Linked DNA regions of Sus scrofa. The protein of the gene in region 1 interacts with the protein of each later gene in a biochemical or structural test. Links are inferred from orthologs where the notes say so. Each region holds a gene or a part of one and is shown on either strand. Other genes may lie near its edges.

Region 1 (3,743 bases):
GCGGGAGCGCGCGCGGCTCCGGGAGGCGGCGGCGGCGGCGGCGGAAGCGGCGAGGGCGGCGGGCGTCCGGCTCAGAGGTGGTGTCGGCGGCGGCAGCAGCGGCTCTGGACTGGGCTCGGCTAGGAGCGAGCGAGGGTCGGGGGCGCAGGGTCGAGCGCCGATCCTCCAGCTCGACCATCCACCAGTAGCCCAGACGCCTGGGCCGCGGAGTTTGTGTCCCGGCTCGGACCCCGGCGCCCAGCCCGGAGCCGTAACCTTGAGGCGGCGGCGGCGGGGCCGGGCCGGGCCGGGCCGGGGGGCGGCGGCGCTGGATCCGCGGCTGCCAGATCGTTGGCGGGAGATGTCGAACCCCGGAACGCGCAGGAACGGCTCCAGCATCAAGATCCGTCTGACAGGTACGGCCGGCGGGAGGGCCCCGCCGCCCCCCCAGCGCCCACTCGCACCCCGCACGGCCCCTCGGCAGCCCCGGAATTTCCCGCAGAGCGCCCTGGGGAAGTGGCCCTCCCCCACGCCGGCCGTGGTCCCAGGACCTCGTCGCCCTCTTAGGCTAGTGCCCCTCATCTCCCTCCCGGCCCCGCCCCCTCGCTGCTCCCCGGCCCCGCCCCCTCGCTTCTCGCCCCCCCATCCGCCCTCTAGCTTCTCTCCCCCCTCCACCTGCCCCCTCTCTTCTCCCCTCCTGGCCCCCTCCGGTTCACTCCCTCCATCCTTCTCGCTCCCGCTCCCTGTTCTCCCCCAGGCCCCTCGCGTCCCCCTCCTGGCCCCGCCCCCTAGCTTCTCTGCTTTTGGACCCCCTCCGTTTTCATCCCCTGCATCCTCTTTTCGCTCCCCCTCCTCCTTCTTGCCCCTCGCTTTTCCCCTCCTGGCCCCGCCCCCACTTCTCAACTCCCTCCTTCCCCTCAATTTCTTCCCTTTCCCCTCACCTGCCCCCTCTCTTTTCCCTCTTGGTTCCGCCCCCTGCTTCTCCTCTCCTTCCCACCCTCTGTCGCTTCCCAGTCTCTACCCCCACCTGCCCCCTCGCTTCTCCCCTCCCGGCCTTGCCTCCCGCTTCTCCCTCCTGGTCCCCCCACCACCCCGCCCACCGACTTCTCACCCCTCCCCCATCAGCTCTCTCGCCTTCCTCTCTTTACCACCCCTCCCCACTTGCCCCCTCGCTTCTCCCCTCCTGGCCCCGCCCCCTCACTTTCCCCCTAAGCCCCGCCCCTCATTTTCTACCTAGTCCCGCCCTCGCTTATCTCCCAGCCCCGCCCCCTTGCCTCCGTCTCGCGCCTCCACCCTTTCCTTCAGCCTCGAATTCCTCAATCCTATCTCCTAGCTTCTCCTGGTCTTGTTCTCATTTCCCCTCTGGTCCAGACCTCTTCAGTCTGGTGCACTTCCTTTCTCTCTCAAACCAGGCCACTGTCTCCTCTTGACTGTGCCGCTTCCTTTTCTGCCCTGCACTTCGCCGTCACCCCCTCACCCCCCGACATCCTTAAACACCGCCAACCCCCGCCCCCCTCACGCACGCTCTGGAGGCTCCGGCGGCTGCACGAACGCAGGCTCCTTGATTCACTCTCTTTTAGTCTTCAATGAAATGCCCGTGTCTCCTAGGTGGCTCTGTAGTGCCACCTTCAAGGGTGAGCGCGAAGCTCTGCTCTGGGCCTGCGACGTGGTGGTTTGGATGCGCGTAGCTGGCAACCGTCTGGCGGGGCCCCTCGCTAGCAGGCTCCAGCGATCCTGGACCAGTTTGCATCCTCGTCCACCCTTTCTCTCAGTACTCCACGGCTGCTGCCCGGTCTCCTGGGTTGAATTCCCACCTGAGGCCGAAATGAAATGCTGCAAATACAGTTCGGCTGGGGGACTTTCCAAACGTGCATATTTCCAGCTCTGGAAATGAAATAAAAAGTTCAGGCTAATCCCTGTCAGGGGTTTTCCCCTGGATTTTTTCTGTTCCGTGTCTGGTCTGATGATGACTCCAAAGTCATTCTGGTCAGATTCTTTCCAAAGGACAGTGAGCGTTTGGGATACTTTATGGCAAATGCATGGCCCTCAGTTATTGGTGAAATCCATGAAAACAACAGTGGGTCATTTTTTCAAACTAAAATTTCCTTTGGAGGTTCTTAGTTGTTGCATGACCCATTTTTTTTTTTTTGTTTCCAGGAAAGGGAGATTCGGGGATTTTTGTTTCTGGAGAAACAATTCTTTCTTCCAGGGCTGGTAGGAAACGCTCACTACGTAGATACAGTATATAAATACATTGTTATTTTTATGGTTACATAAAAACCACGTTTTTGACTTTGTAGTGCTTGTAAAACTTCAATTACTGACAACTTTAATTTGGTCCTCATTTACAATGTAATCTATAATTGACATCAGATTGGTTTCACTTTTCTTGTTAAAAGCAGAAGTAACTGATTTTGTGAGTTTGGGTGGAAGCGTGATTAATGTTTTAGAAGCACTAGGTTTTCATTACAACGTTTGTGTCAGGTGTAGATGTTTTAATCAAGCCTAGTTGGCAGGTCGGGACCTGGGCCTTTTTTTCCTGGAAGGGGTGGAGTGGGGGCTCTATCCTTCCTCCCAAATTATTTTGGGACTCAGGCACTTGGATGCCATAGGTTCGGAGATGCTTTAAGGAGTTTTTGGATAGTGTCTGATGTTGAAGGATTACGCGAGGAGAGTTATTTCCAAAGCACCTTTTCCCTTTCTCCCAGCTGATGTTATTACGGATCTGAAGGGAATCCCTGAGTTTGCTCCTCCCTGCAGCGAGATGGAGAATTTAGCTGTGGATGCAGACCTGCTTGATGCCAGGCGTCTGATGAACAATAATTTACTTGGAAAGGTTGGAACCAGATACTTGGTTGGCAGCGGACTAGGTTTTGGTCTCTTCTTTGAGCTTGCCAGGGGGAGTGGGATCACTGCTGGCATCTTGGGAAGCCATCTTTCAGGAGGTATGTGCTTTTGTCACAGGTTTCAGAGTTTATTTCCTTGTGTGATATTTGAAACCATGTTTTAAAACAAGGGTTATTCTAACCAGTCAGTTGATACCAGAGAGCATAGTTCAATGAAAAGTATGAAGACACTGGAATATAAGAGTGTTAGAAGTTGGCGACCACTAAAAGTTGTATTTGGTGGTGAGTGGAGTGTTGGGTTTAGAATTGGGAGACTCCGTTCTGGTAAGATCTACCATTAACTGCCTGATACAGAACCAATTATTTGACCCTTGTGAGTTCTGTTTTCTAATGTACAAAGTGAGATTTCAGCCCATGGTAACTTTCTTTTCTTTTCCTTCTTGAGGGCATATCAATTTGGCTCCCTACTTGTTCCAAATTACCATTGGCTTATGCTTTCTATTGTTGAGTGTCAATCCAGATATTCAGAATTGCTGTTAAAACCCAGCGCTTCTGTTTGATTGAAGCCAAGCGTTCCTTTTGTGTATGGGTTACATTTTATGATTTCTCCCCCACCCCCCACCCCCAGCCCTTTTGGTTTTTGAAAACTCTTGGGTAGTATGTCGCACTGCTGAAACAGTAGAAGAATGTTTGGGTCTTTATACTGAAAAGAATATGATTTTAATGAATGTCTTTGTGGTATTTTAACAGGAAAATAGTTTTTAAAGGGTTTCAGTAGGTTTGGAGCATAACATATGCAAAATCAAGTGATGTTTGCTGAAGAGCTGTCTTGCAGATATTTTAGAGTGCACCGGCAAATCAGACACTTTGGAAACTATTTTAAATTCAAGCAGGATTTGCAAAACCTTGTTCTTATGT
Region 2 (3,661 bases), on another chromosome or scaffold:
TGAAAAATCAGAAGATCTGCCAACCCTGGGTTCTTATTCCCACATTCCCCCATGGTGATGGTTAGCTGGGGTGAAATAGCAGCTGCCCCCTTTGAACAGAGCAGAGCCTCGCTGGTTTCCCACTCCCTCAGAGGCCTCTGTCCACGTCTGAGATGACTGCCTTGAATGTAGGGACATTTCCCATTGACTATATCTCTTCACCGTTGAAACCAACCACTGAAGCCTGGAGCAAGACAGCTGCTTCCCACTTGTTTCAGGTGAGATGACCTTGGGGCAGGCCACAGTGGTGGCCAAAGAGGCCACAGGAAATGGTCCGATTTGGGATATATTTGGAAGGTAGTATTAATAAGATTTCGCGACGGTTTGGTTTAGGGAATGAGAGGGAGGATTTGAAAATGACTCCAATTTTGATTTTGACTTAGATTGATTTGAGTTAACCCATAGCGGAATATGGAAAACCCGTATGGAAGTTTTCAAATAAAAACAAAATTGCCGAAAAGTCTTCTTCTTTCGTCGTCTCCAAAGTGGGTGCCTTAGAAGGTACCACTCTCGTTTTCTGGGACATGCTGACCCTTTGGAAGATGGGGGAGGGAGGGAGCTTTGAGAAGAGCCTCAGTATCTGAGAAAAGAGAAGTAGGCTCTTGTTTGGGGAGATGGAGTGGAGCTCTATCAGTCTGTGGGCGCCCTCTGCGCCCCTCGGTGTCCCCAGCTGTCCAGGACGGCCTCTCTTGCACTGCTGGGGTGTCAGTACGTGGACAGCCCTAGTTCGGGGAACTCCAAGGTCTGGCACTGCAAAAGGGGTGGAGGATGGTAGAGGCGCCAAGATTTCCACGTGGGAGGGGTTTTCAGGCCGCATCCAGTAAGCAGCTGTATCCAAGCAGCTTGTTTTGAACTTACTCTCTCCGCAGAAAGAGGACTCTCTGCCCTCAGATTTATATTTGTATTGCAAATCATTAAGCGGAGCTAAGGGGCATCTGAAGATGTTTTTATTTACACTTTATATGTGACTGAGAAAATCTTCAACCGTCCATGTCAAGGACAATTATTTTATTTTATTACAACGTGGGCTGACTTGGTTAATGGAGACTACTAGCGGTGGTGGGAACTAGCCGACTGCCACTCCTGGGCCTGGCCGTGGACACGGGAAGCCTCCACCAGATCCGCAGATCGGAAGCCGGAGATTGCGGGCGCCGAGCCAAGCGCGGAGGCTTCCTCAGCCGCCGGAGCGAGACGGCCCTTCCCTCCGTCCCGCAGCGGTCACTCGGCCGCTTGCGCGCATGCGCCGAGCCCGCGGCGTCCTCCCCGGCTCCTTCCCTCCTTCATCCGGGTCCTGGGCGAGCGGGCGCCGTGCGCGTGTCCCGCGGCCGAGCTGCTAATAAAGTTGCGCCGAGGGAAAGCGCGGCGACGGCGCCGGGAGAGCGCGCGCCGCCGGCCCGTGAGTGAATGTGGGGCCCTGGGACGGGCGGGCGAGCGGGAGCGGGGGCTGCGGGCTGTGCGGGGACGCGGCTCTGCCCTAGCGGCCGGACTCGGGCCGAGGCGGGGGCGTGCGGCCGCGGGCGGAGCGGAAACCAGCCGGGCCTGCGGGGCGGGAGGTAGGCCGAGCCCCGGCCTGCCCGGGTCCAGGCGGGCGCCCATGGTGCGGCTCGGCCGGCTGCGGAGGCCTGGCCTGCGGCCGGGGCCGTCCCGAGGCGGGGCAGAGGCTGGCCCTTGTCCCGACGCCGCCGTTACCGCCCGCACTGAGGCGGGAGGCGTTCAGGACGCTTCGCGGGGCTCCCCGGCCTCGCTTCGGTCCGGAGGAGCGGTTTGTTCTCCCTCTTCTAAGCGCCACCCTCAAACACACCCCTGGGAGGATGGCCGAGCTCGGCCGAGCAGCCGGGTCGGCCACCCTGCCAAGCAGCCCGGTGGCTCGATGAATCAATCCGTGCCGCCGTCGCTTTGTGTTTCAGTCCTTATCTTAAGGATCCACGCTTATCGGTGGGAATTACACCCTGGTTATTTGTGACCTGCCGCTGCACCCAGCTGGTGCTTCGACCTGGTTTGAGCCACTTGCCATGCCAGTTTTCATCCTGGCAGAGATTTCTTCTACTTCCTATCAGCTGCTGCAAGGCAAGCGGCAGACAGTGACTGTTTGCCTACAGCCTCTTCCACCCCTGCCGGGGTCCTCCAGTCGAGTGTCAGGACTCAGATTCACGGTCGGGTCGGCTCCCCTCCCCCTCCCTCCCCCTCTTTGCTCTCTTCCCCTTTCAGCTGCTGTTATTACGTGGAGTTTGGAGCCTAAGCTTTGAAAACTCCCATGTGGCGCCTGTCTTAAGTCGGAGCATGCTCAGTAGCCCAAACAGATTTTGGTTGCAAAAAGAACTGGGGCGAGGATAGTCGGGTATTTTGGACGTTTGCCCGCTTCCTAACAAAATGTTCCAGTTCTGGTTTGGATGGCATTGGAGAGTGGAGCTGTAGGCCAGCCTAGAGGTGAGGAATGCCTGAACACCCTGGGCCAGATCTCTATCTTGATTGTAGAGACATTGTTTCCTGACCAGCTGGAGGTCGGAGGGTGGGGTGGGGGGAGTTGGGGGGAGCATTCCTGGCTGCCTCTGCGTTTTTGTGGGTGTGGTACTAAGTGTATCTTGTTTACCTTATCTTTCTGTGGAAAAAGTTTTGAAGTCTCGTTAGGTTTGTCACATCATGCCTGTTGCCTAGCACCACCAGAAGTGTTCTCTTCCAGCAACAAAGACTGGATAGGTAGGAGGTTGTCCTAGGAGCCTTGGCCTTATAGAAGTTGAGAGGAAGGGTTTCTTGAGTTGCTGTTTTTTAAACTCTTTATTCTTTTTTTTTTTTTTAACTGGAGTAGTTAAATATCCTTCAATTAGAGTACCCAACTTGCCCAGAGTGAATTAGTTTCCAATATGCAAGCTGAAAGGTTAAAAAACTTCATCCCCAGAGGTTAGTAACCTTCCAAGCAGTTTCACATGGCTCTTACATGCCAGTGTTGTGGGGGAGAGGACCTCTCTACACAGTGTGACAGTTTCACGTTTTTTGATCCATATATTTTAATGAAATCATTGTGTTCCAAGTTAAGTAAATAAGGAATTATTTATAGATCTGAACACATTTTATATCCCTTCTTTTACTGCTACTTTGGTTAAGTTTTTTTCCTTTAAGGTGAATCTGAGATTACAAGAATACAGAACAATTCTTAAGAAACAAGTTAACAAAGTGTAACCTTCATAAAGGTTGTATAAATTACCTTTAGATTTTTTTTTAAATGATTGTCTCCATAGCCTCCTCCCTTCTTCCTTCTCTGCACTGCTGCTTTCTCAGTCGGTATGCCTTTGCTTTGCACATAGCTGCTTTTATCGCATAAACTTCAGCCAGTTATTTTTGTTAATAAAATCCATTCGTCATTTATGCTTCCATTCCTTTGAGATCACAGCTGAAATAGGCAATAAAAGTTAGATGAACCTTCCCAACTGACTTTCCTCTTAGATTTTAAATGCATCCATATGATGTCTATTTAAAATGAAGAAAAGAACAGGGATCTGGAAAAGAAAAGAATATTTTTGTAGGTTCTGTGCAGATGTGGTTATCTGCTTGTCTGGTTCACTGTGGTAGGCGCCACAAAAATGGGTAGATTGATACGTGTTGCATTTCTTTCCCCTCTGGCAAA

What was found.
Region 2: of the proteins of SMURF1 (region 1) and SMAD5, one has a biochemical effect on the other in vitro, tested with the Homo sapiens proteins (3 studies listed by BioGRID, with this or other methods). The link is inferred for Sus scrofa from reciprocal best matches to the Homo sapiens genes SMURF1 and SMAD5.

The regions. Positions count from the first base shown.
Region 1 is NC_010445.4:6,138,848-6,142,590, reverse strand, and holds the start of SMURF1 (E3 ubiquitin-protein ligase SMURF1), read left to right. Parts: upstream 1-1,212; 5' UTR 1,213-2,629; coding exon 2,630-2,924; intron 2,925-3,743. UniProt on the Homo sapiens protein: E3 ubiquitin-protein ligase that acts as a negative regulator of BMP signaling pathway. Mediates ubiquitination and degradation of SMAD1 and SMAD5, 2 receptor-regulated SMADs specific for the BMP pathway.
Region 2 is NC_010444.4:138,286,793-138,290,453, forward strand, and holds the start of SMAD5 (mothers against decapentaplegic homolog 5), read left to right. Parts: upstream 1-842; 5' UTR 843-1,435; intron 1,436-1,732; exon of another isoform or gene 1,733-2,466; intron 2,467-3,661. UniProt on the Homo sapiens protein: Transcriptional regulator that plays a role in various cellular processes including embryonic development, cell differentiation, angiogenesis and tissue homeostasis.